7 linked regions of the Oryctolagus cuniculus genome follow. The protein of the gene in region 6 purifies or fractionates together with the protein of the main gene of each other region. This does not show direct contact. Links are inferred from orthologs where the notes say so. Each region holds a gene or a part of one and is shown on either strand. Other genes may lie near its edges. The genes, in order: TARDBP, SQSTM1, CDC6, RRM2, RBX1, CCNF and CCP110.

What was found.
Region 1: the proteins of CCNF (region 6) and TARDBP purify together in Homo sapiens (affinity purification with western blotting; 3 studies listed by BioGRID, with this or other methods). This does not show direct contact. The link is inferred for Oryctolagus cuniculus from reciprocal best matches to the Homo sapiens genes CCNF and TARDBP.
Region 2: the proteins of CCNF (region 6) and SQSTM1 purify together in Homo sapiens (affinity purification with western blotting; 3 studies listed by BioGRID). This does not show direct contact. The link is inferred for Oryctolagus cuniculus from reciprocal best matches to the Homo sapiens genes CCNF and SQSTM1.
Region 3: the proteins of CCNF (region 6) and CDC6 purify together in Homo sapiens (affinity purification with western blotting; 4 studies listed by BioGRID and IntAct, with this or other methods). This does not show direct contact. The link is inferred for Oryctolagus cuniculus from reciprocal best matches to the Homo sapiens genes CCNF and CDC6.
Region 4: the proteins of CCNF (region 6) and RRM2 purify together in Homo sapiens (affinity purification with western blotting; 5 studies listed by BioGRID and IntAct, with this or other methods). This does not show direct contact. The link is inferred for Oryctolagus cuniculus from reciprocal best matches to the Homo sapiens genes CCNF and RRM2.
Region 5: the proteins of CCNF (region 6) and RBX1 purify together in Homo sapiens (affinity purification with western blotting, with the first as the bait; 4 studies listed by BioGRID). This does not show direct contact. The link is inferred for Oryctolagus cuniculus from reciprocal best matches to the Homo sapiens genes CCNF and RBX1.
Region 7: the proteins of CCNF (region 6) and CCP110 purify together in Homo sapiens (affinity purification with western blotting; 7 studies listed by BioGRID and IntAct, with this or other methods). This does not show direct contact. The link is inferred for Oryctolagus cuniculus from reciprocal best matches to the Homo sapiens genes CCNF and CCP110.

What each region holds. Positions count from the first base shown.
Region 1 is NC_091438.1:157,254,713-157,258,452, reverse strand, and holds part of TARDBP (TAR DNA-binding protein 43), read left to right. Parts: intron 1-796; coding exon 797-937; intron 938-1,811; coding exon 1,812-1,982; intron 1,983-2,319; coding exon 2,320-2,850; 3' UTR 2,851-3,740. UniProt on the Homo sapiens protein: RNA-binding protein that is involved in various steps of RNA biogenesis and processing.
Region 2 is NC_091437.1:67,652,854-67,657,204, forward strand, and holds the start of SQSTM1 (sequestosome-1), read right to left. Parts: upstream 2,906-4,351; 5' UTR 2,545-2,905; coding exon 2,103-2,544; intron 1-2,102. UniProt on the Homo sapiens protein: Molecular adapter required for selective macroautophagy (aggrephagy) by acting as a bridge between polyubiquitinated proteins and autophagosomes.
Region 3 is NC_091448.1:22,169,643-22,173,382, reverse strand, and holds the end of CDC6 (cell division control protein 6 homolog), read left to right. Parts: intron 1-1,311; coding exon 1,312-1,514; intron 1,515-2,408; coding exon 2,409-2,549; intron 2,550-2,809; coding exon 2,810-2,899; 3' UTR 2,900-3,490; downstream 3,491-3,740. UniProt on the Homo sapiens protein: Involved in the initiation of DNA replication. Also participates in checkpoint controls that ensure DNA replication is completed before mitosis is initiated.
Region 4 is NC_091433.1:192,177,307-192,180,021, reverse strand, and holds part of RRM2 (ribonucleoside-diphosphate reductase subunit M2), read left to right. Parts: intron 1-1,822; coding exon 1,823-1,917; intron 1,918-2,019; coding exon 2,020-2,153; intron 2,154-2,696; coding exon 2,697-2,715. UniProt on the Homo sapiens protein: Provides the precursors necessary for DNA synthesis. Catalyzes the biosynthesis of deoxyribonucleotides from the corresponding ribonucleotides. Inhibits Wnt signaling.
Region 5 is NC_091442.1:117,032,936-117,037,265, forward strand, and holds the start of RBX1 (E3 ubiquitin-protein ligase RBX1), read left to right. Parts: upstream 1-1,402; 5' UTR 1,403-1,641; coding exon 1,642-1,719; intron 1,720-3,521; coding exon 3,522-3,600; intron 3,601-4,330. UniProt on the Homo sapiens protein: E3 ubiquitin ligase component of multiple cullin-RING-based E3 ubiquitin-protein ligase (CRLs) complexes which mediate the ubiquitination and subsequent proteasomal degradation of target proteins, including proteins involved in cell cycle progression, signal transduction, transcription and transcription-coupled nucleotide excision repair.
Region 6 is NC_091450.1:32,853,023-32,856,762, reverse strand, and holds part of CCNF (cyclin-F), read left to right. Parts: intron 1-874; coding exon 875-942; intron 943-1,754; coding exon 1,755-1,948; intron 1,949-2,443; coding exon 2,444-2,497; intron 2,498-3,013; coding exon 3,014-3,118; intron 3,119-3,338; coding exon 3,339-3,416; intron 3,417-3,740. UniProt on the Homo sapiens protein: Substrate recognition component of a SCF (SKP1-CUL1-F-box protein) E3 ubiquitin-protein ligase complex which mediates the ubiquitination and subsequent proteasomal degradation of target proteins.
Region 7 is NC_091450.1:21,520,289-21,524,772, reverse strand, and holds the start of CCP110 (centriolar coiled-coil protein of 110 kDa), read right to left. Parts: upstream 2,878-4,484; 5' UTR 2,657-2,877; intron 1-2,656.

The sequences.
Region 1 (3,740 bases), on a different chromosome or scaffold from region 6:
CACACACACACACACACACAGAGAGAGAGAGAGAGAGAGAGAGAGAGAGAGGTCTTCCATCCGCTGGCTCACTCTCCAATTGGCCGTAGCGGCTGGAACTGCGCTGATCCAAAGCCAGGAGCTACTTCTGGGTCTCCCACGTGTGTGCAGGGGCCTTTAAGTGTTTAAAGGAACGGGAAATTTTTCTGCTTTTCCCATGTGATTAAGTTTGTAAACACTGACGACTGGCGTTGTGGCACAGCAGAACAGTGGGCTAAGCCGCTGCTTGGAATGTCAGCATCCCCTGTTGGAGTGTGGTTTCCAGTCCTGGCTGCTCCACTTCCAATCTTAGTAGGCCTGGGAAGGCGGCAGGTGGTGGCCCAAACACCTAGGTCCCTGCGGTCATGGGAGAGACCTGGAAGGAGGGCCTGGCTCATCCCCAGCTGCTGTGGCCATCTGGGGAGTGAACCAGTAGATAGAGTCTCTCTCTCTCTCTCTCTCTCTTTCTCTCTTTCTCTCTTTCTCTCTTTCTCTCTTTCTCTTGCTCTACCCTTCAGATATATTAAAAAATTTTTTTAAAGCTGGCACTTATTGTAAAACATTGTTAAAATTCTGTTGTGTCACTTGAGTTTTACTCTGTCCATTAACATGATCTGGATCCCTCTTGCTGCCTTTTATTTTCCTCAGTACTTAGCTTCATCGACATCCTAATTCAGCCACTGCGTTCATGGAAGCCGTTCAGTTTTCAGGAACTTTTGATTTAGGACTGCGAGTTTGAGTGCATGCGGATATTTTAGGAGTAAATTGTCTCTTCTAGGTCAAGAAAGATATTAAAACTGGCCATTCCAAAGGGTTTGGCTTTGTTCGTTTCACGGAGTATGAGACGCAGGTGAAAGTAATGTCCCAGCGGCACATGATAGATGGACGATGGTGCGACTGCAAACTTCCTAATTCTAAGGTACTTGGCTCTCCCTCTGTGGGTTGGGGATTTTTACTGACAGGCTTTCTTAGAAAGTGCTGTAAAATAAAACATTAAGTACAAGGGGGGTCTTTAACAAAATTGATGAAAGGTACGTATTTATGAAAAACAACTGAATTTTTTTAAATTTTTTGCTCCAGAATTTTTTTTTTAAGATTTACTTATTTACTTGCAAGTCAGAATTATACAGAGAGAGGAGGAGAGGCAGAGAGAGAGGTCTTCCATCTGCTGATTCACTCTCCACTTGGCCACAGCAGTTGGAGCTGTGCCAATCCGGGGAGCCGGGAGCTTCTTCCAGGTCTCCCGTGTGGGTACAGGGGCCCAAGGACGCTGGATCGGAAGTGGTGCAGCTGGGACTCAAATCAGTGCCCCTATGGGATGCCAGCACCTGCCACGCCACAGTGCCAGCCCCTCCAAGATATTTTAATTCCATTTTCCATTGACTTTGTTAAGTGCCCGCATATGCTTGGGAAAGGCAGTGGCAGGATGTGTTACAGCTTTTGCCTTGTAACTCTTCCAAACTGAAACTTTGCTCGCGTTATTCATGAGTTAATGTTTCCTGCACGGGTGTCTGTTGAAACGTGAAGACGTACAGCGTGTCATACGTTCACCTTGTTATGTAGGCCTGACAGAGCAGTCCTTGTTCAGAGCGTCGTCCCGTCAGGGCCATTCCTGTCGCTGGCTTTTCCCAGGTCCCGTCGCTTTCCTAACTCTGAAGTCTGGTCTTGAAGTCTTGCTGGAGGGAAAGGGCTGGTGGCTCCCTCGCAGGATCCCTCTGCTGTAACCAGACAGACTCTGCTGCTCTCCTCGCGCCCCCCAGCTCTGTCTGACCTCTCCCCTTTCCCTTGGCCAGCAAAGCCCCGACGAGCCCTTGAGAAGCAGGAAGGTGTTTGTGGGGCGCTGCACGGAGGACATGACTGCTGACGAGCTGCAGCAGTTCTTCTGCCAGTACGGGGAGGTGGTGGACGTGTTCATTCCCAAGCCCTTCCGAGCCTTCGCCTTCGTCACGTTTGCAGATGATCAGGTATTTTGCTTGGTGATGCGTCGCAGTGGACAGCCATCCTTAGCTACGCTTTCTGGGCTTGTACGGCAGCGGGATGTGTGGGCTTAGACACGTGTGAGACGAGCAGTGGGTAGCTTTCAGTATGTGCTGTTGGAGAGTATTACATGGTCTTGAAACAGAGTGAGATGCCCCCGCTCCGTGACTACAGCTAAATAAAGGCTGTGCTGCAGAACAGCTAGCGTCGTCGTATTTCTCTCCAGCGTGGATAAATTCTGCGTGCAATCTAGATTTTGTTTCTGCTTATTAGGTGTGTGTTCCGTGGCTTAATCTCCTTTGTCTGCACCCTTATTTCTTACAGGTTGCCCAGTCTCTTTGTGGAGAAGACTTGATCATTAAAGGAATAAGCGTCCATATATCCAATGCCGAACCTAAGCACAATAGCAATAGACAGTTAGAAAGAAGTGGAAGATTTGGTGGTAATCCAGGTGGCTTTGGGAATCAGGGTGGCTTTGGTAACAGTAGAGGGGGTGGAGCCGGCTTGGGGAACAATCAAGGTAGTAATATGGGTGGGGGGATGAACTTCGGTGCTTTCAGCATTAATCCAGCCATGATGGCTGCGGCGCAGGCGGCACTGCAGAGCAGCTGGGGGATGATGGGCATGTTAGCCAGTCAGCAGAGCCAGTCGGGGCCTTCGGGCAATAACCAGAGTCAGGGCAACATGCAGAGGGAGCCCAACCAGGCCTTTGGCTCTGGCAATAACTCCTACAGTGGCTCTAACTCGGGTGCAGCGATTGGTTGGGGATCGGCATCCAACGCAGGGTCAGGCAGTGGTTTTAACGGTGGCTTTGGCTCCAGCATGGATTCGAAGTCTTCTGGCTGGGGAATGTAGACCGTGGGCTGTGGTTGGTTGCTTAGAATGGTGGGAATTCAATTTTTTCTAAACTCATGGTAAGTATATTGTAAAATACATATGTACTAAGAATTTTCAAAATTGGTTTGTTCGGTGTGGAGTATATTCAGCAGTATTTTTGACATTTTTCTTTAGAAAAAAAGGAAGAGCTAAAGGAATTTTATAAGTTTTGTTACATAAAGGGTTGAAATATTGAGTGGTTGAAAGTTGAACTGCTGTTTGCCTGATTGGTAAACCAACACACTACAGTCGATATCGAAAGGTTTCTCCTGTAATCTCTTATCCCTGGACTTGTCAAGTGAATTCTTTGCATGTTCAAAGTGGAAACCATTGATTTAGAGCTACATTCTTTTCTCCTTGTTTTAATTTGAACCCCACCATACGGATTTTTTCCTTAGGAAAGTCTTCCTCTCGGGAGATGATGGTGTCACGCAGTGTTTGGTTCTTTCGGTTTTGTTTTTAACACTTGTCTCCCCTCATACAAAAGTACGATATGAAGCCTTCATTTAATCTCTGCAGTTCATCTCATTTCAAACGTTTATGGAAGAAGCACTTCGCTGAACGTAGTGCTGTAAACATTCTGCCATAGGAATACTTCTGTCTACAGCTTTCTCTTTCAAGAATTGGTCGTCACGCCGCGCGGGCTGCGTCTCTGACGGTGGGTGTCCCATTTTTATCCAGTACTCTTTATTTCATGGAGTCGTATCAACGCTGTGAACGCAAGGCTGTGATATGGAACCAGAAGGCTGTTTGAACTTTTGAAACCTTGTGTGGGATTGATGGTGGTGCCAAGGCATGAAAGGCTAGTATGAGCGAGGGAAGGAGAGAGCGCGTGCAGAGACTTGGTGGTGCATAATGGATATTTTTTA
Region 2 (4,351 bases), on a different chromosome or scaffold from region 6:
CAATACTCAACTTGCCACCTTCTTATTTATTTTTGAGACATGGTAGACAAGCAGAGCTCCTATCAAGGGCCGGGACTGGGCTGGGCAGAAGCCAGGAACTCAATCCAGGGCTCCCATGTAGGAGGTGAGGACCCAATTACTTGAACTTTCACCTACCCCCTGCCAGCATCTGTCCTGGCAGGAAGCTGGAGTCGGGAGCTGGGATCCAACACGGGCCCCAGGTATCTTAATGGGTGAACTAACCACTAGGCCTGATGCCCACCAAGGCCACTTCTTTAGGGGTGGGGCTGGACAGATCGGGGATAAGAAGGGAGCCTGCCCATTCACTGGACAGGAAGTGTGCCCGCCTGGGCCTGAACCTGGGCCACGGTCACACCTAAAAGGCAAAGTTTCCGCGTACACTACACGGACAATAACAGTGCCCTGTCCCTCAGAGGCCCAGCCCGCCAAAGGCTCTGGGCTGTCTGCAATGTTTAAGTGGAGATGAGCCCAGAGGCCTGCTGCTTTCTCCAACGAAGAAAAAAGGCTGAGTCCTTCTATGTTGGCTTCCGTGATTTTAAAGCATTGCCACACAGACCAGACCAGACCGCACCGTGCACAGGCTGCAGGCGGGGCCTGGACTTGGGCACCAGAGGGCAACATCTACCCTCAGAGCAAGAGTGGCACTTTTGCGAAACAACCCAAAAGTCCATCAACTAATGACACAAACACGATATGGCATATCCACAAAAGAAACGAATACAGATGCAGCCTACACCTCTGATGAACCTGAACGCATTTCCCTAAGGAAAGAAGCCAGACACAAAGCTAAACTGTACAACCCCCTCTCCACCACTGTCCAGAAGAGGACGCCCAGGAGAGAAAGCAGCTCAGCGTTGCAGGAGCTGAGGGAGACAGGTAAAAGGCATGGGGTTCCAGTGGAGAGGAAGGGGTTCTCATGCTGACTGCCAGCGCCTGGCCCCGCTCTCCAGCCCCAAGTCTGCTCAGAAGTTCCAACTGGTGAATGTGTTAAAGACCACTGCATCGGGGCAGGCATTTCTGCAGCGGCTAACTGGCAGCCCGGAACACTGGCAGCCCATATGAAAGTGCCTGGTTGGAGTCCAGGCCACTCCACTTCTGATCCCGTTTCCTGCTAATGTGCACTGGAGGAGGCAGCAAAGGATGGTTCAAGTGCCTGGGTTGCTGCTACCCTCCTGGGAGACACTGATGGAGTTCAGGCTCCTGGCCTGGCTGGGGCTGGCAGCTGTAGCCATTGGGGAGTGAACCAGCAGATGGTAGGTTGGGGTGTGTGTGTATGTGTCTCTCTGCCCTTTCAAAATGAAATAAAATTTTAAACCCTTGAATTATATACTTTAAATGAGTAAATTTTATGGTATGTGAATTACAGCTCAATAAAATTGTCACCAGGAAATTAAAAAAAAAAAAAATGCTGGGCAAGCTACTGAGGGCGGTCCCAGCCCTGCTCCCTCCCAGGGGCGGGCCTTGGCCGAGGACCTCCCTCCCACACTGCTGTCCCGGGACCCCACCCCCAGCAGCAGCTACCGGTCTGAGCAGCGCAGCCAGAAAGAGCGGTGGCTCCGGGCTTGTCCCCACTCTGAGTTTGTGGAGAACGTTTCGACATCGGCCGTCTCCCCACTGCCTTGTCCCTGGGCGACCTGCGGCCTACCCCGGGCTCAAGGGCCCTGCGTCCCCCAGCCGCCCACGCCCACCACCCACTTTCAGGGCTCGCTGAACGCAAACCTGGCGCCGGCGGGCCCAGCCCCGGCAGCAGCAAGATGTCAGTGTAACCCGAGTGCCCGCCTGACCACCTTCTCAGCCCAGGGCCAGAGAGGACGCCCCGGCGCGTCCTTGGCGAGATCTGCAACATTATGGCGGGGAACAGGAAGCATCTAACGACCCAAAGTCCCCAGCCCGCGGGGCCTGATCGCCTCGGCCCCTGAGGGACAGGGCCTGGGTCACTGGGCTGGCACCCGAGGTGCAAGTGGGGTACGCGCAGGTCACCGCTCACCCAGAGCGCGACCAGCACAGCATCCCTTCCGACGCAGCCGGCACCGACTAGGAAAGGGCAGCCCCGGACCCCGGCCACCCCCCGGCCCGCTCACCGCGGTAGTGCGCCTGGAAGCCGCCGGGCCGCAGCGCCGGGAACAGAGCGGCCACCCGGGCCAACAGCCGCTCGCAGGGCCCGGGGCCGGCCGCTGCTTCGGCCTCGGCCTCCGGCTCCGGGCTGAAGCAGAAGCTAAAGCGGCGGATCTCGCGCGCCGCCTCCTCTTTGCCCAGGAGGTAGGCCTTCACGGTGAGCGACGCCATCGCAGCCGGAGAACGACGAGCAGCTGCGCAACCGAGGGAGCACCGGAGGAGGCGGCGGCGGTGGCGCCAGTGGCGCGTGGCTTTTGTAGGGCACGCGGAAGCCCCGCCCGACGTGGACTCCTGGGGGCGGAGCCTGCACTCTTCGGGTGCCGCCCCCCACCGCCGGGGCCGCCTCTCGCGAGTCTCCCTGCCAGGGCCCCGTGCCTGCTTGCCCCTCTCCCCGCTGCCCTTTGACATGGTCTACCGCTCTCAGTCTGTCCCCTCATTGCCCCCAGGGCACCGGAGACCCCCAGAGCAGGCCTCAGCATCTGTACCTCCTGAAAGGAATGGGCTGGGGTCCTGTCCGAGGCCCCTCTCCGGCTTGGGCCTGGCTGTGACTCAGCAGAGCAGGTCCCTGGTCATCAGCAGGGGTTGCCCAGCACAGGACAGAGGAGGACACACAGAGCCCTCTATCCCAGGAGGCATCTAGGCTGCCCAGTGGGCACCACCAGCCGGAACCAGCTGGCTGCTAGGGTACCCTGCTGCCCTGCCATGCGTGACCCCCAGAAGGCAGCCCTACACCAACCACAGCCTCCTGCATGAGCGTCCCTAGCTGTCCAGGGCCGGCTGGCCGGCTCGTCCACTAGCGACGGCAGTCAGTCACCAAGTGCTGACTGCAGCTCAAAAAGACACATGGACGCCCCCAGCCCTGTGAGCCCAGCAGGCTGAGCCTGACGCCCCAGGCCCTTCCTCACCATCACCAGGAATGGTTGATCAGGGGTCCTTGTTTTAGCACAAGAACTTCAGCCATGGGACAGAATAGCAGCAAGCGTGCTGGCCAAGTCTGATGAAAAGAATGCACCTGACAGAGTAGGCGGGCATCTCCATCAAGAGCTGAACCCACCTGCTTTCAGACTGGGGTTTCTATGGATACGGGTATAGCCCTCTTTCTCCTCTCCCCTCCCCTCCCCTTCTGGGACACGTCTGGGGGAAGGGCTTCCAGAGTGTGGAATTCCTGAAATTCCTCCCAGAACTTCATCAGCAGTATTATTGGACCTAATAGCCACACACACACACACACACCCCCCCAATGCAGGGCAGGGATTTCTCTAAGCTGCCCCTGGGAAAAGGCTGGGACCCACTCAACAAGGTTATAGAAGGAGACCAAGGCTCTTTTTTTAAAAATGTGTTTATTTATTTTACAGGCAGAGTTTTGGATAAAGAGAGAGGTCTTCCCTCTGCTGGTTCACTCCCCAAATGGCTGCAACAGCCAGAGTTGAACTACTTCGAAGCCAGGAGTTCCTTCCAGGTCTCCCACGTGGGTGCAGGGTCCCAAGGACTTGGGCCATCCTCCACTGCTTTCCCAGGTCATAGCAGAGAGCTGGATCAGAAGAGGAGCAGTCGGGACACAACCGGTGCCCAAATGGGATGCGGCGCTGCAGGTGAAGGCTCAGCTGCTGCGCCACAGCACTGGCCCCACCTGAAACTAAGACTTTTGAGATGTAAATACTGCTCTGCTTCCCAGGCTTGCTTCTGTGGTTCTTCCCTCACCCAGCCACACAAATTCCCATTTCTTCCCTCTCACAGATGCAGGCTGCCTAACAGACCTGTCAGGGCAGGGGGCCAATGCAGCAGGTGCCTGCCTGTAGGGCCTCAAGAGTGTTGGCCACAAGGGCGGCCAAGGGGATGGGACCAGTCACCTTTCAGCTGGGAATCCAGAAACTCTGCTTCCTGGGACCAAAGTGACCTGTCTGCAAGGCCTGGGGGAAGGCGCTGGGAAGGGAGGTGTGTCACCCCCCCCCCCAGACCTCCCAGGCAGGTCCTGTGACTAAGAGTCAGCCCTGTTGGGTCAAACCCCCCCCCTTTCAGGTCAAGTTTGTGGGAGCAGCTTGGGAAGCCCAGCGATGAGGGTGGGCTGGTTGGATGGGGGTTAGGCAGATGCACAGGTGGCCAGGCCACAGGAGTAACGGGATCCTGCCCAGCGAAGCCAGCCAGGCTCCCGTGCCAGGAGCAGCCTTGGAGAGGCTGGTCCATGATCCCTGCCGCTGTGAGCCTTGGGAAAGTG
Region 3 (3,740 bases), on a different chromosome or scaffold from region 6:
AGAAGACCAGGATGGAGTTCCTGGCTACTGGCTTCGGCCTAGCGTAGAGCTGGCTGTTGTGGCCATTTGGGAAGTAAACTAGTGGATGGAAAATTGATATCCATACCCACACTCCCCACTTTCCAAATAATGTATACTTTTTGAAAACATCACAATGCTAAAAAGATATATAGGGATGTCGTAAGTTCCTGCCATAAAGTATTATATTAATTCTTTTCTTCTGGTATGTGAGATTGACTTTTAATGGCTTCAGAAAGCTATAGGGAGACTGACTTCAACTAAGTATAAGAAGAAATTTTCTGATAGGACCAACTAGGCTTCTTAACATAGTAGACTCATAGCCTTAAAGATAATCAGAGGAAAACTGCATCAATGATCACGTGTTGGGATTGTTTTAGAGGACACTCAGCTATTAGATAGGAAGTAAGAATAGACCTTAACATTACTTTCAATTTGTAAAATCTGTTACTTGATCTGTGATCTCTGGTTTCTCTATCAGTCCTCTGCAGCATTCCGTTTGTCGTCATGAAATAGAAGCAGATTACTGTGGGGCAACTGCAAATGGTCTCAGGAAGTAACTTTGGGCAAAGGTTGTTTGAGAGCAAATCCCTCCTCTGTCTTGCAATTTATGCATCTCCAAACAATGAGGCCATAGTCCTGTGTAGCTCATTGGCAGTTTCCCAACCTCTGGCTTTAGAGATGGTGCTATCTGCTAGGATATCCAATGACATTTTCTCAAGTGTTGCTGTGCTGCGGATCAGCTTGGGCAAGTGAACTAAACCTCAAAAGTCACTTGGGGAGGCCATCTGGAGGACTGATGTGGGATTTTTACTGTCCACATTTATCCACACATTTGCTTCAAAATACTCAGTATTTTGGAAGAAAGAATTTCCAGCTATTTTTCTTCCTTAATTACCAGGCACAGTCATCATCTTTGCTCCAAGGGTTCCCTTTTTACCTCTGAGGCATTAGAAACTTTCATGGTAGAATACAGTGGTTCTCTGTCTGATCCTTCCTCTTTCATGAGGTGGATTTTGTCTCCTTGACAAAATTACATTCCACAGGACAAAATAGCTCACTCTTCTACCCAGAGAAAGGATAACCCTACTTACCAAGTCATCCCACATTATTTTGGCATCTTGCTAAGGAGAGCATTGTCTCTCGTTGGTTGGCATCTAGTTAGAACCTCAGCTTTGCCACCACATGACTGCACTTGGATTTCCTTTAGCTAAAATTTAGTATCACCTGTCTCAACACACAAGCACATAATATTTTAAAAGTCAAATTAAGCTTAATTCATTTCCTTTATAGGTAAATCATCCTCTGAGTCTCCGGTTCCCAAGAGAGTTGGTCTTACTCACATATCCCAAGTCATTTCAGAAGTTGATGGTAATAGGATGACTTTGAGCCGAGAAGGAGCACAAGACTCCTTCCCTCTTCAGCAGAAGATTTTGGTGTGCTCTCTGCTGCTCCTGACCAGGCAGCTGAAAATCAAAGAGGTCACTCTGGGAAAGGTAAGTTGGGAATCTGCCACTGGAGCTGACATTGAGATGAGAATCTTCTCTGCAGAGCAGATGTTTTCCCAAAGTCCTATCATGCTCCAGCTGATAGGAATTAAAAATCGATTTTAATAGTAAGAATAAATACTGGTATTTAAAGATTTATTTTTATTTGAAAGAGTTACAGAGGGAGGTAGAGACAAAAGTCTTCCATCTTTGGTTTACTCCCCAAATGGCTGTAATGGCCGGAGCTAAGCTGATCAAAAGTCCGGAGCCAGGAGCCTCCTCCAGGTCTCCCATGTGGTGCAGGGGCCCAAGGACTTGGGCCATCTTCTACTGCTTCTCTAGGCCATAGCAGAGAGCTGGATTGGAAGAGGAACAGCCAGAACTAGAACTGGTGCCATATGATATGGTGCTTGAAGGCTGAAGGCTGAAGGTTGGGGCTTTATCCTACTGCTCCACAGCGCTGGCTGCACAGCTGGCCTTTAATAGCCATTAATCTGGCTGGCGCTGTGGCTCACTAGGCTAATCCTCCGCCTTGCGGCGCCGGCACCCCAGGTTCTAGTCCCAGTTGGGGCACCAGATTCTGTCCCGGTTGCCCCTCTTCCAGTCCAGCTCTCTGCTGTGGCCCGGGAATGCAGTGGAGGATGGCCCAAGTGCTTGGGCCCTGCACCCACATGGGAGACCAGGAGGAAGCACCTGGCTCCTGGCTTCAGATTGGCGCAACGTGCTGGCCATAGCGGCCATTTCGGGGATGAACCAATGGAAAGGAAGACCTTTCTCTCTGTCTCTCTCACTGTCTAACTCTGCCTGTCAATAAAAATTTTTTTTAAAAAAAGTAGATTATAATAAATTTTAAAAAAGAGATTTTTTTTTAAGCAACCTATGTTCTCCTGTGTTTCCTTCCAGTTGTATGAAGCTTACAGTAACGTCTGTCGCAAACAGCAGGTGGCAGCTGTGGATCAGTCAGAGTGTCTGTCACTTTCAGGGCTCTTGGAGGCCAGAGGCATTTTAGGATTAAAGAAAAATAAGGAAACCCGTTTCACAAAGGTACAACCAACTGCTTCTTTGTAATAATGCTTTCACTTGTCTTGTTCTAGAGAGCTTATCCTTTGCTAAAATAAGGATTTTAAAATGAGCACAATTAGATCGTTTGCTTTTTTGTTTGATAGGATTTTAGGTGTGTAAGGGACAAATGAGATAGTGCTTGTCTCAGTTGCCTCTTGTGAGAAGTTTTTTGTGGTAGAAGTTTGTGTAACAACTTTGGTTCTGTGAGTTCTCCATCATGAATCATGCTTTTCTTTTTCCAGGTGTCTTTGAAGATTGAAGAGAAGGAAATAGAGCATGCTCTGAAAGACAAAGCTTTAATGGGAAATATCTTAGCTACTGGATTGCCTTAAATTGTTCACTTACTGCACATCGGGCAGTATTCAGCTGGCATTTAGCGAAGGAGTCTTCGTTTTAGTACTTTATACACTCAGGTCTGAAAACAAATATGACCTTTTATACTTGAAACCAATGAATTTTAACCTATAGACTCATGAATATTAGCACAGAATAATATGTTTGGATCTTATTTTCACCCATAAAAATGACCACGTAGACCCTTTTCAATTACATCCAGTACCCTCTACCACTTGTGTGCCTCTAACCACTTGTATTTGCAGGTATGCAGATTTGTATGGTGGAATGCATATACACTTACCTATTACTTTCTTCAAACATTGATATATTATGTTAAGAACTTTGAAGTTAGGGTAAGAAGAATGGAAAGGAATGATCCTGAAAGCAAGACCACATGGTGATTTGGAGGACACTTTGACAAAGAATTTTTTGGGGGGGTATACTGTGTTCATGTTGCGGATTCTACCACATTGTGACATTTTAAAGACTCATTGTGTTTCTTGGGTACTCCGAAGCTTGAGGGACTGGTAAGGAGAATGTAACTCTGCAAATTGTGAATATATTTATTTTATTTTATTTATTTTCAAGTTGTAGTCTTAGTCTTTTTAAGCAATCACATTTCGAGAGAGCTCAAGCTTCCAGATGGCAATATGAAAATTCCTTCCCAAACTGTCCCACAGTCTTAGTTACTCTCAGATGAAACCTTTGTTTCAAGATGCCTTAGTCTGGGGTTGGATTTTCATCTGAACACATATTTTCCCAGCCTCATTAGATAAATTAATCCATGTGGATAGTCACAAGTTCTCTTCTGGGTTTGGTTTCTAGTGGCATTAAATG
Region 4 (2,715 bases), on a different chromosome or scaffold from region 6:
TTTTTTTTTTTTCTTTTTTTTTTTTTTTTAAGATTTATTTGAGGCCGGCGCTGCGGCTCACTAGGCTAATCCTCCGCCTAGCGGCGCCGGCACCCCGGATTCTAGTCCTGGTCGGGGCGCCGGATTCTGTCCCGGTTGCCCCTCTTCCAGGCCAGCTCTCTGCTGTGGCCCGGGAGTGCAGTGGAGGATGGCCCAGGTGCTTGGGCCCTGCACCCCATGGGAGACCAGGAGAAGCACCTGGCTCCTGGCTCCTGCCATTGGATCAGCGCGGTGCGCCGGCCGCAGCGCGCCAGCCGCGGCGGCCATTGGAGGGTGAACCAACGGCAAAGGAAGACCTTTCTGTCTCTCTCTCTCACTGTCCACTCTGCCTGTCAAAAAAAAAAAAAAAAAAAAGATTTATTTGAAAGGCAAGATTACAGAGAGACCACAAGAGATCTTCAGCTGCTGGTTCATTCCCCAAATATCTGCAATGGCTAGGACTGGGCCAGACCCAAGCCAGGAGCTTCTCCCAGGTCTCCCAACATGGGTGCCGGGGCCCAAACACTTGGGTGGTCTGCTGCTGCTTCCCCAGGCACATTAGCTGGGAGCTGGATTGGAAGTGGAGCAGCCAAGACTCAAGCCTATGCCCATATGGGTGCTGGTGTCACAGGCTAAGGCTTTGCCTGCTCTGCCACAACACTGGCCCCAAATATTGAGTTTTTTTTTTACAGGCAGAGTGGACACTGAGAGACAGAAAGGTCTTCCTTTTTGCCGTTGGTTCACCCTCCAATGGCTGCCGCGGCCGGCGCGCTGTGCTGATTCGAAGGCAGGAGCCAGGTGCTTCTGGTCTCCCATGGGGTGCAGGGCCCAAGGAGTTTTGGGCCATCCTCCACTGCACTCCCAGGCCATAGCAGAGAGCTGGCCTGGAAGGGGGGCAACCGGGACAGAATCCGGTGCCCCAACCGGGACTAGAACCCGGTGTGTCGGCGCCGCTAGGTGGAGGATTAGCCTATTGAGCCGCGGCACTGGCTTGTTTTTTTGTTTTTAAGATTTATTTATTTATTGGAGCGGCAGAGAGATCTTCCATCCGCTGGTTCACTCCCCAATTGGCCGCAACAGCCGGAGCTGTGCTGATCTGAAGCCAGGAGCTTCTTCCAGGTTTCCCACACAGTGCAGGGGCCCAGCCAGGACTTGGGCCATCTTCTACTGCTTTCCCAGGCCAGAGCAGAGAGCTGGATCTGAAGAGGAGCAGCCGGGACTAGAACCGGCGCCCATATGGGACGCCTTCGCTTCATGCCAGGGCATTAATCCGCTGTGCCACAGTGCCGACCCTCAAATATTGAGATTTTTAGAAGTAATCATTCAGGGGCCAATGCTGTGGCACAGCCGGTTAAGCTGTGGCCTGCAGTGCCGGGATCCCATATAGGTGTTGGTTCAAGCCCTGACTGCTCCACCTCCAGTCCAGCTCTGCTGTGGCCTGGGAAAGCAGCGAAGGATGGCCCAGGTACTTGGGTCCCTGCACCCTCGTGGGAGACCCAGAAGAAGCTCCTGGCTCCAGGCTTTGGCCTGGCACAGTCCTGGCCATTGCAGCCATTTGGGGAGTGAACTGGTGGATGGGCGATCTCAACCTCTACCATCTCTCCTCTATAACTCTGCCTGTCAACTCTTTTTAAAAGTAATATTCAAGGGAAAAGCTAAATAGTGAAAAGAAAACAGTTCACTCTGAGTTCTTTTGGGGAGAGAGCTGACAGATAGTTGAACTTGGCTTTCAATCCGGTGCTGTTAGAAGTTTTGGGAATTGGAGGTCTTTGACCTAAATACTGATGCTGTCTACGCCTCCTAGGGAATTTCTCTTTAATGCCATTGAGACGATGCCTTGTGTCAAGAAGAAGGCGGATTGGGCCTTGCGTTGGATTGGGGACAAAGAGGCGACCTACGGTAAGCTTGCCCGTGGCCACCTTAGACCAGAGCGCGTGTTCCCGGTAATGACACTGCGGGTTTCCCTGGGAATGCCGTGACTCACTGGAAACTCTCGGACAGGAGAACGCGTCGTAGCCTTTGCTGCGGTGGAAGGCATCTTCTTCTCTGGTTCTTTTGCGTCGATTTTCTGGCTCAAGAAACGAGGACTGATGCCCGGGCTTACGTTCTCCAATGAACTTATTAGCAGGGATGAGGTGAGTCCAGTCTCAGGCTGCACCCTGAACACCTGCGGTTCTGAGAGGCACACAGGTCTCATGGCTCCATATCCACGTTTGTTTATTTCCTGTTTATTAAGATTTACTTATTTGAAGGGCAGAGTTAGAGAGGTCTTCCATCTGCTGATTTAACTTCCCGGTGTCTGCTGGGGCCGGGCCAGGTCAAAACCAGGACTCAGAACTCTGGTCTCCCGTGTGAGTGCAGGGGCCCCAGAACTTAGGCACCTGCTGCTGCCTTCCCAGGCGCACTAGCAGGAACTGGAGCAGAAGCGGAGCAGCCAGGACAAGCTGGTGCCCATATGGGATGCCGGTGTTGCAGCCAGCGGGTTAACCCCGTGCACGGCAGTGCCGGCCCATGTCCACATACATATTCAGCAAAAAATGAAGCCCTTTAACTTGCTGACATGTGTTCCCTATATTTATACATGCGTGTTGCTCTTCAGGCTGGACTGTAAAACTCCGTTCCGCTCTGGTAGGGGTCTTCTGGCTTCAGAGTGGTCTTGAGTTTAATTTCTTCCCCAGGGTTTGCACTGCGACTTTG
Region 5 (4,330 bases), on a different chromosome or scaffold from region 6:
GCGCCGGCTCGATCGATTGATTTTAAAGGTAGTGTTACAGAGACAGGGAGAGATATTCCATCTCCTGGTTCACTCCCCAGATGGCCACAACACCCAGGGCTGGGGCAGTCCAAGCTAGGAGCCTGGAACTGCATCTGGGTCACCCATGTGGGTGGCAGGGCCACTAGCCCAGAGCTGGATCGGAAGTGGAGCAGCCGGGACTCCAACCTGCACCCACGTGGGATCCTCGCGTGGCAGGTGGCGGCTTAACCTGCTGTGCCACAAGGGTGGCGCAATACAGTTTATTGTTGTTACGATTTTTACTTATTGGAAGGTCGGAGTCAACTCTTCCATGGGCTGGTTCACTCCTCCGACGGCTGCAACGCCTGAGGAGCCAGGAATTCCAGGAACCCAAACACTCGGGCCACCTTCTGCTGCTTTCCAAGGCGCACTAGCAGGGAGCTGGATGGGAAGTGGAGCAGGCGGGACTCAACCCAGCACCCACGTGGCATGCGGCGTCACAGGTGGGGGGGGGTGCTAAGCGCGCGGCCACAATGCCCCCCAGTTAATTTGTTGGGTGATGGATAACCAGGGCCTCGGAAGCTCTGCCATGGGCTTCAGGAACTCCAGGAAGGGTCCGTAGGCACACATTAATTAACGGCAGCTTTACCCCAGACTCCTTAAAGCTTGGGCTAAGGAACTTCGTGGGGTTCCTGCGACCCCCTCGGGTCTCCCACAGTCTCACGGGGGGTCTGTCGTTCCTGTTTGGGATTAAGAAGGAAAACATTCCAAGTCCCTCCGGCTTCGCGTTGGAGGCCACGGCGCCAGATCGAGAGGCGAGAGGGGAGATTTCAAATAGACGGGAGGCGGGAGTGAGACCCCCACCCCGGGCGGTTACAGCCGTGGAAGCGAGGCCTGGTGCAGGCTTGGAGGGAGGTAGACCAGAAGACGGGGCGAGGCCAGCGGTGGCAGCCGCCTGCCTCACAAAGACGCGGGCCCTCCAGGCCGACCGGACTCGCCACTGGGGAGGACGTTCGGGGGTCTCCTCCTCTTGCCCGTCGAAGCCCTGGGCATTCCCCGAACGGGCATCGGGGAAGCCAGCCGGTGCCTGGTGGGCCCGACAGACCCCGGCCGCAGGCCTCGCAGGGTGACTGGCGCTGGGGCCTGGGCTCCGCAGCGGGACCAGGCCGGTCCGCAGAAGGTCAGTGTGGAGTCCCGCACCGCGGGGCGCCACCCCCGCCTCTTCCCCGCGCCCGGACCAGCAACGGTGCCGCGGCCTCGGCCAGGTTGGCGGCCGAGGCGGAGGAAGCAGCCGCCGCCGCCCCGGCCGAAGGCAGTGCGGCCCGGGGGCTTCCCGGGGAAGGGCGACGAGAGCGAGCCCTGTCGAACGTTTCCACTCGGCTCGCTGCAGGCGCCTCGGCCCCGCCCGGCCCCGCCCCGGCCCCTCCGGCCGCCGCCTCCTCCCCGGCCGACGTGAGGGGGGAGGCCTGCGCCAGCGCCTTTAAGAGGCGTGGCCATGGGCTCCGCCTCCATCTGCCCCTCGCGCGCCAGTCGGGGGAGGGGTGCGGGAGGAGGCGCCCGGGCGTCAGGGGGTGGGTGGGAAGCGAGGCGCGCGCTACTGCGCAGGCGCATTGGCCGGACTACAGATCGTGTGTTTCCAAAATGGCGGCAGCGATGGATGTGGATACCCCGAGCGGCACCAACAGCGGCGCGGGCAAGAAGCGCTTTGAAGTGAAAAAGGTTGGGTCTCGCCAGCGCCTTCCTCGGGGAAGCTAGAGAGGCGCGGATCTGGCTGGCAGGCCCTTGGATGACCGAGGCGCGGAGGAAAGGGCTTCAATTCAGGGCGTTCCTAGGACCGGGTACCACGAAAGGAAGCCGGGGGGCGGGCCTTAGCGTTGATCGGCGTGACGGCGGCCCACTGTCGAGCGCAATGTTGAGTTCGCTTTGAGGCTGAGGGGCCAATCACGGAGGTGCTTATTGAGATGCGCGGGGTTGCGACTGGGCTGCGGGAGCCAAGCGCCGGAGCTGTCACTGAAGCGGCTGAGGGGTGGGGGGAAGGACCGGGCGGGGTGGGTGGAAGGGGAGTCGGAGCGCTGCGGCGGGTGGAGGATGGGGTGGTGTGGCGAAAGCCGAGAACCTGAGCTCTTACCGCACTGGAGGCCTCTGAGGAGCCCGGCTGGTGACCTCCCCGCCCCGCCCCTGTCTGAAGCGTGGAGGGTCCCCGACTCGTCCCTCCGTTAGCCCCTCTCGGGCCCGGCCCCCGCCCGGAGTGTGCAGCTTGGCTCTTGGGGGGTCGTGTGTCGGCTTGTCACACAGCCGCCCCAGCCTTGTGGTGTCACGTCCAGAATCTCCCTCCAAAAGACATTTTTAAAAAAAAAATCATGGTGGAATTTGTTGAAAAGAAAATGTCCCAGTCTCGTGCCGTTCGCGGAGGATCGCGTGCTGGCTCCGAGCGGCCTGGCGGAGACGGGGGCAGGAACACATGTAGACGCGGCTTTTTCTTTTTCTTTTTGGCGTGAGGTCTGCCCCCTCACTGCTTTCCCCGAGCCGGCAGCTCTGGAGAAAAGTGTCGATTCCCACCTAAGGTGAAATAAATCTGGACAATGAAGGTTCCGACCTAGGGGAGCTGCGCTTCCTGGACCATCGTCCAGGCGCGGACGCCGGGCCCTCCGAGTGCGTTTCGGCGTCTCATTGTGGCCGCCGCTGCCCGCCTGCTGCCAGCAGCCATGTTGCGGACTCGGGGCTTCTCCAAGTTGGAGCTGAGGTGTGGAGAGTGCTGGCGAAGTTCCTAGACCTGAGAGCTGGCCTGGAAGGAGATGAAGGCTTGGGTGGCGGCGCCAGACAGTGGGTGAAAGGGGAGTTTGGAAGTTGTTTCTCATAATTTTTTTAAGATAAATCCTTACTGGAATTTACTACATGTTAGAGTTGCAACATACGAAAGTTGAGAACATCAGCTTATTTGATAAGAACGAAAGATTCTAGTAAATTCTGCCGTTTGGAAGTGACGGCGTGAGGTTCAAGCGATGACCTTGTTCTGGGTACCCACCCTGGGTCACCAGTTATCCAGCTTATCCCACGATTACCCACGTTATTATCCAGTCATCGTCTTAGTTCATCCTGTCCCTAGCGTTCACCTCCCGCTCCTGATGTTTATGCAGATTTTGAGCCCTGCAGCTGCCAGAAAAACCTTCACAGGAATTCAAGTTTGTGCTTATTAATCCTAAAGCAGGCACTGAAAAACTATTCCTAACTTGGCCTACATTGATATGACTGACTAAATTATTTTAAACTGTAGGGAAAAGAAATAAAAAAGGTGACTCATTCATTTCTGTATTCCTATACCAAACCTTTGGAGAATGGGCCAGCCTACATATAGCTTCCAGTTGTCCCCTAATATAATAAATGAGAATAATGTAACATCCAAAAACTCTTTTGTCTGGTGGTCCCTGTGGCCCAGGTGGGTAACTGCAGCTGCAGCAGGAAGCGCGTGTGTGCGTGACATTACAAGGAGAGCGCATTGTTCCCCCTTTTTCTCTTTGCAGTGGAATGCAGTAGCCCTCTGGGCCTGGGATATTGTGGTTGATAACTGTGCCATCTGCAGGAACCACATTATGGATCTCTGTAAGTAACTGGAGGAGGGTGGGAGGAGGTTGAGAGGCTACAGGGATTGTGGCCATCCTGAAGTGGCCAGTTTCCTTCCTCACCAGGAGACACAAAGCACAGCATGTGTGAGGCCTTTTGTGTTTAGTCCACTGGGGTGTTGGAAGGAAAGTAGTTTTTTCTGAAGTCCTACATGCATACCCAGCTCTTGGAATAAGTCCACTCCACACAATCTTAAGGATGGCAAGGACGCTTTTAGAGTGAATTTTGGACACAGAGATGCTGTGTACTCTTCTGTATCTCCCGTCTCATACTCAGAACTCCAAGGCAGACATAGTGAATGGAAGAAAGTAAACTCTGACCTAAAATATCCTACATGAGCTAATTTTTGCTGGGCGAGATTTACACTCCGCCCTATCTGTGGGGTCAGACAACTGCGGATCAGAAATACATATGCGTTTTTTAATGTCTGTACTGGACAAATATATCCTTTTTTTCCTTGTCATTATTCACTAACCCATACAGCTTCGCAATTGTTTACATAGCATTTACATTGTATTAGGCATTGTAAGTTACCTGGAGATGAACTAAAATAAATGGAAGGTTGTGTGGAGCAGCCAAGTCATGAACCAGTGTCCATAAGGGATGCTGGTGCCCTGGATTGAGAATTTTTTTGGGTGGCCGGTGCTGTGGCGCAGTGGATTAATGCCCTGGCCTGAAGCACCAGCATCCCATATGGGTACCGATTCAA
Region 6 (3,740 bases):
TCCCCTGAGAACGGCTCCCTGTCCTGCCCCGGCCCCGCTCTGGTCCAGGATCTGACGCAGGAGCTGTCCTGCCGCTGTTTGCCCTCCCATTACCTTGCGGGGTGACCGAAAGCTGTAGACGGCCCCCGTCAGGCCCCTTGTCCCGGGCCCCGCCTCCTGCACTCCCTGAGCGTCCTCCGAGGCCGTCGACTCGCTCCCACGTGACAACACAAGTCGTCTGCGTGCTGAGATGTTTAGGTCTTTTCCTAAAGTCAGAGCCATGTGATTCAGTCTTAATGGGTTTTACTCACTGCTGATTCTGCCCGCTCACCATCCCCTCGCCAGTGTCCGCACTGGGCCCAGTGTCCACCTGGGCTCCCGTCAACCAAGTATCAGCACCCAGCCCACTGTCCTCACGGGCTGGGGCCGCCCTGGGGCACCCATCAACCAAGTGTCCGCACCGGGCCCACTGTCCTCATGGGCTGGGGCCGCCCCGGGGCTCCCGTCAACCAAGTGTCCGCACCGGGCCCACTGTCCACTTGGCCAGGGGCCACCCTGGAGCTGCCTTGTTGTGACAGACTAGGGGACCACAGCTGGGCGGTGTCCTGACTCGGTTGCCGTGCACTCCGGAGTTCATCCCCCGGCTGCGCAGCGCCCCTGTCTGACTGCAGGGCAGCCCCCTGCCCCGTGGACACTCGCGGCCCCTCTCCTCAGCCATCCCCGAAGCCCAGGCCGCCTCCTAGTCAGCTCTGTGTGTCTGGATTTGCCTGTCCCAGACGTCTGCATACATGTGGTCCTGTGTTCTCAACGTCCGTCTGCCGTAGGCTGATACGTGACTGTTGGGGAGGGGACGGCAGGTCTAGCTACAGCTGGATGCCGTGTGTTCCTGTTGCAGGGCTGCCGACAAGGGCAACTTCGAGGCTGCCGTGAAGCTGGGCATCGCCTACCTCTACAACGAAGGCCGTAAGTGCCGCCCGGTGCCGCCACGTGGGGTGCGTGTGAGGGACACGCCCGGCTGAGCCGCGTCCCTGCTGCGGCCGGGGTGTCCCTCGCTCTCCTCTCGGGAGCCTGTGCCCAGGGCCACCTGCTGTCATGTTGGTGAGCGGCCCGGGCACACCGCCTTCCCCGGGCTCCCTGCCCTCTGGCCGCCAACACCGAGGCGCCTGTCCTCAGCCGTCTGCTCTGTGCTCTGGGGCGGAGGCGTCCATGGCACCCAGGTGTCTGCAGCTGAAGTGGGAAGCCGGTCGAGGCCGGCCTCTGCCTGGACTCCTTCACCCCCGGAGGCCAGGCGCGCCCCTCTCAGGCCCTGTGCAGCCTTCTCTTGACCAGTCCCTGCCCACCCAGGAAGTGAGCCCAGGACACTAAGGACTAGGGTGCAGCCAGCTGTCCTGCTGCTTCTGAGAGTTCTGGGGTCTCGCTGAGGGTCCCTGCAGCAGGCGGGCTGGGCGCGCCCCGCCCATTGCCCCACTCCCAGCAGCAGCGGTCCCCACACCTTGCAGGGTGCAGTCCAGCGGGTTTAGCAGAATTGCACAGCCACCGCCACTGTCCCGGCCCCTGGGTCCTCCCTGGGAAGACCCTGGAAGATGGGCTTGCCACCTGCAGGGGGCGCTTTTCCCTGATCTTCAGAATTGAGGCTTCTGGACCCCTGAGGGAGCAGGGGAGGAGGAGGGGGCGGCGTGGAGGTTCCTCGACCCTCGTTCCTGCCACGTGTGGTGGCTCCGGAGGACTTTGCGCGCCCTGTCCCCGGAGACATGGCCGGGGTGTTCTGTCCACAGTGTCCGTGTCCGATGAGGCCCGCGCGGAAGTGAACGGCCTGAAGGCCTCGCACTTCTTCAGCCTGGCCGAGCGCCTGAACGTGGGCGCCGCTCCCTTCATCTGGCTCTTCATCCGCCCGCCGTGGTCCGTGTCTGGCAGCTGCTGCAAGGCCGTGGTTCACGAAAGCCTCAGGGCGGAATGCCAGCTGCAGAGAGTAAGTGCTGGCAGCCTGGGACCCGCGGGCCACGGGAAGCCCGGAGCCTAAGGCAGAGGGCGGTGCAGGATGTGGGGGCTGTCAGCTGTGCTGGCCCCAGTGCCAGGTGGGGGGACCTGGGTGTGGTCCGCAGAGGCCTCTCTGTCCTCCTCCTTTGATAGAATGTGGGGTATGGTCCACACAGGCCTCTCTGTCCTCCTCCTTTGATAGAACAGTGTAAGTTGTGTTTATCTGCGAGAGGCCCTAGTCATGTGTGTACTCTGCACACGCGCACAACTGCTGGTGCTGGTCCAGGCCGAAGCCTAGAGCCAGGAGCTCAGCCCGGGTCTCCCACGTGGGTGGCAGGGGACCCTCACCGTTGCCTCCCGGGGTGTGTGTGTTAGCGGGAAGCTGGAATGAGACCCAGAGCCGAGACTTGAACCCAGGCACTCCCGTGAGGGACGTGGGCGTCGTGGCTGCTGGGCCCAGCACCCACCCCGTCTCTTCTCTTTGCAGACTCACAGGGCGTCCATCCTGCACTGCGTGGGGAGAGTGCTCAGTCTGTTCGAGGTGAGTGAAGTGGCCACTGCACCGGCCTTTGCCGTGTCTGACGCGTCCGTGGCCGGCAGAACGAGAGGGCATCCAGGCCCGAGGTCAACACGGAAGCCCAGTCCACCCAGGAGACCCACGGAGCTGGGCAGCTCCTGGGCAGCAGTGGGGGAGGGGCGTGGCCGAGTGGCCGGGGAGGAGCTGAGCTCCCCGTGCTGCTGCCGTCTGGTGGCCTCCGTGGGACCCATGCTCCGCTTCCTCTGGGATCCGTGAGCCCCCCTGCAGCCGGCTTAGGGAAGATGGTGGCTGCCAGGGGCAGAGCCAGGAGCTGGAGCAGCCAGGGGCCTGCGGCTCCACCCTCTGGGCGGTGTGGCACAGTTCCTTTGGCAGCAGGCAGGGAGGCGGGTCTTGGGGTGGCCCGGGACCTCAGTGCGCTTCCCTTGGCTGTGGGGTCTGTTTCTGGGTGAGGCGGTGGGTGGGGGCTGCAGAGCGGCACACGCGGTGCAGGACTGGGAATCCGCCGCTCGGTTGTTCCAGGACGAAGAGAAGCAGCAGCAGGCTCGCGCCCTCTTTGAGGAGTCGGCTCTCCAGGGCTGCCTGGCCAGCTCGTACCTCCTCTGGGAAAGCGACCGGAGAGCAGACGTGAGTGGCCGGGTCTGTGGGGAGGCGTCGTGGTGGCCAGGGGCACGGCCTCCGCCCTGCCCTGGGACTAGGCCACCGCTCCTGGCCTCTAGGGCAGCTACCGTCCCGGAGGCCAGCGCGGTGGGGAGCCGTCTGGGTGTTGGGGACGTGGCAGCGCCCCGAGAGGGTTCCGGGTTGCTCCTAGGACAGCGCTTCACGGTTCCGTGACTTCTGTTGACAGATGTCTGACCCTGGCCGGTGCCTCCACAGCTTTCGGAAACTCAGGGACTGTGCCGCCAAAGGCTGCTGGGAAGCACAGGTGAGGCTGGTGCCTTCGTCTGCGGCCTGGGGCAGGAGACGCCGCGGGCTGGCGCCCCTGTGCGCCCAGGCTCTAAGCCCGCAGCGCCTTCCTTCTCTGGGCCACACCCGCTCACTGCCCACAGCCGGCCTGGCAGTGGGCAGCGCAGGGTCCTGTTCCCGCTGCGCCGTGCTCACCACGTCACCTAGCCTCAGGACCAGGAAACCCAGGGTTGTGGCTGTGTTCGCCCGACCCCCGCCCCTACAGCCGTGAAGCAGTCACAGTTCAGGGCGAACCTCAGAGCACATTCTTGCCGCCCACCCTGCAAACACTGGGGAAGGGAGG
Region 7 (4,484 bases), about 11 Mb from region 6:
ACCCAATCCACATCTGCAGCGTTCCAGGGAACAGAAATAGACCCGGCATGCAAATCATGTGCTATACTTTCTATAAATACACGAGCACAAAATTCAATTTTAAAGATCTGGGAAGTTTAAGGAAATAAAATACTTCCATGGCAACAGCTTTATTTTTCTTTCAACATCACAGATGCTTCATTGTTTCAGAAGGTTATTTACATTCTTTAAATAGCAAATGTATATACTACAAATTGCAGATGGATGAGCAGTCTTCAAAAAATCTGTGGGAAATGCATAGAATGAAAAACCTACGCATGGGTTGCAGAAGCTTTCTGCACCAGGGGCAGGCATTTGGCCCAGCTGTTAATCAAGACACTTGCGTCCCCAACGGGAGCACCTGGGCTCCATACCTGGCCCCAGCTCCAGGCTCCAGCTTCCTGCTAACGCAAACTGTGGGAGGCAGGGGCTACGGCTGGGCTCGAGTAATTGCAATCCTGCCACCCATGTGGGAGACCTGGACTGAGTTCCCACTCCTGGCTTTGGCCAGGCCCAGTCCCGGCTGCCACAAGCATTTGGGGAGTGAACTAACAGACAGAGAATATCTTGATCTGTGTGTGTGTGTGTGTGTCTGCCTCTGAAATAAGTAAGATATGCTTTTAAAGTTTTTTTCTAACAAAATAACCTTGTCTTTTAGCTCCACCTTCCCATAAACCTGTGACATATCTTCACAAGCAATACGCTGGTATTATTATTATTGTAGCATAACATACAGCATGCAACAATGCTTCAACTATTCAAGTATGAGTGCTGATATGGAGGTCACAGAAACTGCAAGCTGATCCCGGGCCACAGCGGGATCCCTCCTGCCTCTGGTCTCAGCTCAGGTGCCACCTCCTCACAAGGACCAGCCCTGAGCGCCCTTCTAAATTTACCCTGCCTCAGCCACTACCCCGTTACCCTGCTGTCTTCCAGTCTTCGGACTTAGCACTCTCTGAAATTCTCTTGTCTTTCTCTGGTTTTGTCTGTCTGCCTCCGCTAAAACGTAAGCCATGTGAGCGCCGGTACCTTCGCAGCCTTGTCCGCTGCATCCCCACTGCACAGAACAACGCGGGCACGCAGCTGGCACTCAGTAAAGAACGGTGAATACATGAATCAGCTGATTCCCTCCAACAGTAAGGTAAGCCAGGGAAAGGAAGAGGGTGGGCGACACAGCAAAAGAGCTAGCAAGGAAGGATGGAGTCCAGAGAACGAAGTTTCCCTGCTGACCCGGCTCTCTGTGAGCTGCAAAGGGAGCCACTTACAAAGTGAGCCGTCTGCATCCCGCGTGGCGTGGGGCACAGGCACTGTTTCTCTACCACAATCCCTCTGCTGCCAGGTTTTACTTCCACAGAGCCTTGGCTACGAGGCCAATCCAACCACAAGGCACTGCCGGTCCACAGCCAGGAATAACGTCGGCTGTGTGCCTCCTCTTCTTTGCTTATGAGCCAGAGTTCTGCTGAGCCTTATTCAAATGAGCCTCTTGACAAACCCAAGGAACTCAGGGTCCTATCTGCTCCTTACCAGCCAAAACTGTCACCGCAGAGAGTGACAAAAATAACACGGCCAAGATCCGGCCTTGTGGGCAGAAGCGAGCTGACTGGGTACCCATCAGGACCCCCGCCAGCATAAAATTCCTGTAGCAGCAGTCAGCGGCATTTCTTCTTTTTAATCTGGTGGGGGGGGGGGGGGAGGGCATAACAAATGTAGAACGCGCCTCACCCGGGCAGCACACACACGCAGAGCGAGACGCCAGGAGGAAGATGTGACATTCGGGCACACCCTGGCTGGGCGTTCTTGGTGAGCCAGCGACTGTCCTCCAGCTCATCTTCCTCCTCTGTAAAGTGCGGGTCATGGGGACACCTGTCTCACAGGTAGTTCGTGAGAATCCAAGGAGCGAATGCACTTAGCATACACAGGGCACACAGAAATCGTCCACGCATTGTGAAGAAGAGAATGCCAGTGATGATTTGTAGCAAGAGACTAGGAACTCCAAGGAGAGAGGGGGAGAGGGCTGGCAGTGACAGTGCTGGGTTCCTGGTAGGATGCAAATGTGACTGGAAAACACGGGACTGCTTGTTCATCGCGCCGTGCGCAGACCCCTTCCCACCAGGGCAATCCCTAGCCGGCTGCCACGTGCACAAACAGGGGTAGGGGGCTGGGGTGATCACCGGATAAGAAGCAAAGGCTGGGAACCAACCAGCAGCATCAGGGGCGATCCAGAGGATTCGCCATGCTTCCACCCCGGAATCGCAGAGGCGAGGCAAACGGCGCTCCCAGGTCGCCGGTTTCGAAAGGGCCGGGCACAGCCCGGGACGGAGACGGGGGAAAACACCCCCAGCTTCGACCCCCGAACGGGGCTCTCCGGCCTCGGGCGCCCTTCTGCCCTGCACGCCGCACCCTGCAGCCGGCTCCTCGGACATGGAGCCCGCTGCGTGCGGCCGGCATCCGAGCATCGCATCCCAGCACCACCGGCCTCGGGCCCCCGCCTCCCCACGCCCGGCGCCCTTCCAGGGGCTCGAGGCCCAGGAGCCGGCACACAGCCCGCCCTCGGCACCTCAGGGCGCCAATTCCGCCTCTCCCGCTCGCCTCTCCCCGGCCACCCGCCGAGGGTCCTGCCCCCTCCTCACGCACAAACCTGATGCCCCACGGCCCCCTCAGACTTTCTCCCTTCGCCACGAGCCTTGTCAGGCAGGAAGCAAATGGCTCAACTTGTACTGACAGAGCACAGTTCGGTCCGCCGCCGCCTTCGCCTCCTCCTCCCCGCCATATTACGGGTCTCAGAAGCGACAACGCGGGCTCCTGGCAACCGCCGCCGCTGCCGCCACCTAGACTCCACCTCTCAGGGCGGGCACTTCCGGTAGTGGCTTCGCGGGCAGTTGGAACGGTTGGGCTCCAGAAAACTACAGTCCCCGAGATGCACTGCGCACCCCTGACCAAGGGCGTGTGCTTGCGGCGAGCGGAATGCATCCTGGGAAATGTAGTCTTCCCTGCTACACCGCCCTTCTAGAATTACAATTTTTCTATAACCAGAACTCTGGTTGGGGTCTGAAGCCCCTAAAGTGTTCCATAAAGCTGCCATTTTTCTTCTTATTTTTATAGCTATTACCTCTCCCTGTGTGGTCGCTGGAAAACATATCATTCACAAATATTTTAAAATATATGTATTTTATTTGAAAGGCAGAAACAGAGACAGATCTCCTCAAATGCCCGCAACACCCTGGCTGAAGCCAGGATCCCAGAACTCCTTGGGGGTCTCCCGCAGGGTGGCAGGGACAAGTACTTGAGTCCACCTGTCCATTCTCAAGGGTGCCCATTAGCAGGAAGCTGGGACAGAAGCAGATCGGGGACTCCAACCCAGGCACTCTGACATGGGGTGGAAGCATCCCAAGCAGTGTCTTTGGGGCTGCACCAAATGCCAGCCCCTCAGCAATGTTTTTGCTCTGTACATAAAAATTTACTAAATCATAGAAGCCAATTGGAAGCCTTAAGATAATCCATACGCTTTTGAATTCCAATGAGAAGGTTTGTCCAAGAGAAACAGGTAACAGATTCAAGATGGAAGAAAATTCTCTGAATGTTTTACCAAAATTGTCTATTGAAAAGTCACAGAAGACGGCGTGGTGACATAGCAGGTGGAGCCACTGCCTGCAATGCTACCATCCCATATGAGTGCCAGTTCTCGTCCCAGATGCCCCACTTCTGATCTAGAGCCATGATGATGCACCTGGGAAAAACAGCCAGAGGATGGCCCAAGTGCTTGGGCCCCCGTACCCCTATGGGAGACCTGGATGAAGCTCCTGGCTCTTGGCTTTGGCCCAACCCAGCCCATTATAGCAGACATCTGGGGAGTAAGCAAGTGGATAGAAGATCTCTCTCGCTCACTCACTTTCTCTCTCTCTGTCTCTCCCTGTAACTTGCCTTTCAAATAAATAAGTAAATCTTAAAGAAAAAGGAAAAATGTGTCACCAGCCATTCAAAATATGATTTAGCAGCCTCTCTCCATTCCCTGAGTAGGCTTCCCCTTGGGTCTCTGTTCCTCTTTCTGGTGCTTGTCTTTGACTCTATAAAAGGGAAAGGTTAGAACTGCTATCACAGGGTGGTTGCAAAGCACAACTCAGATAACTCTCCCAGCGCCTGGTACATTAACCTTTAGTAGTAGGAAAAATAAGATTAGGAGGGTGGCAGTGGAAAAGTCACAAGCCACTGGCTTCATGTTAGCCCTGACCCTGCCATTACCCACCCCATTCTTTGCCTCTCCTTGGTTTCCTTACCACTGGGATCGGCATGCTGACATAGGGTAAGGGCGCTGCCTGCAACACCGACAGCCCATAAGAGCACCAGGTCAAGTCCTGGCTGCTGCACTTCCAATCCAGCTCCCTGCTAATGCACCTGGGAAAGCAGCAGAAGATGGCCCAGGTACGTGGGTCGCTGCAGCCACGTGGGAGACAGGGTTGGAAATCTTG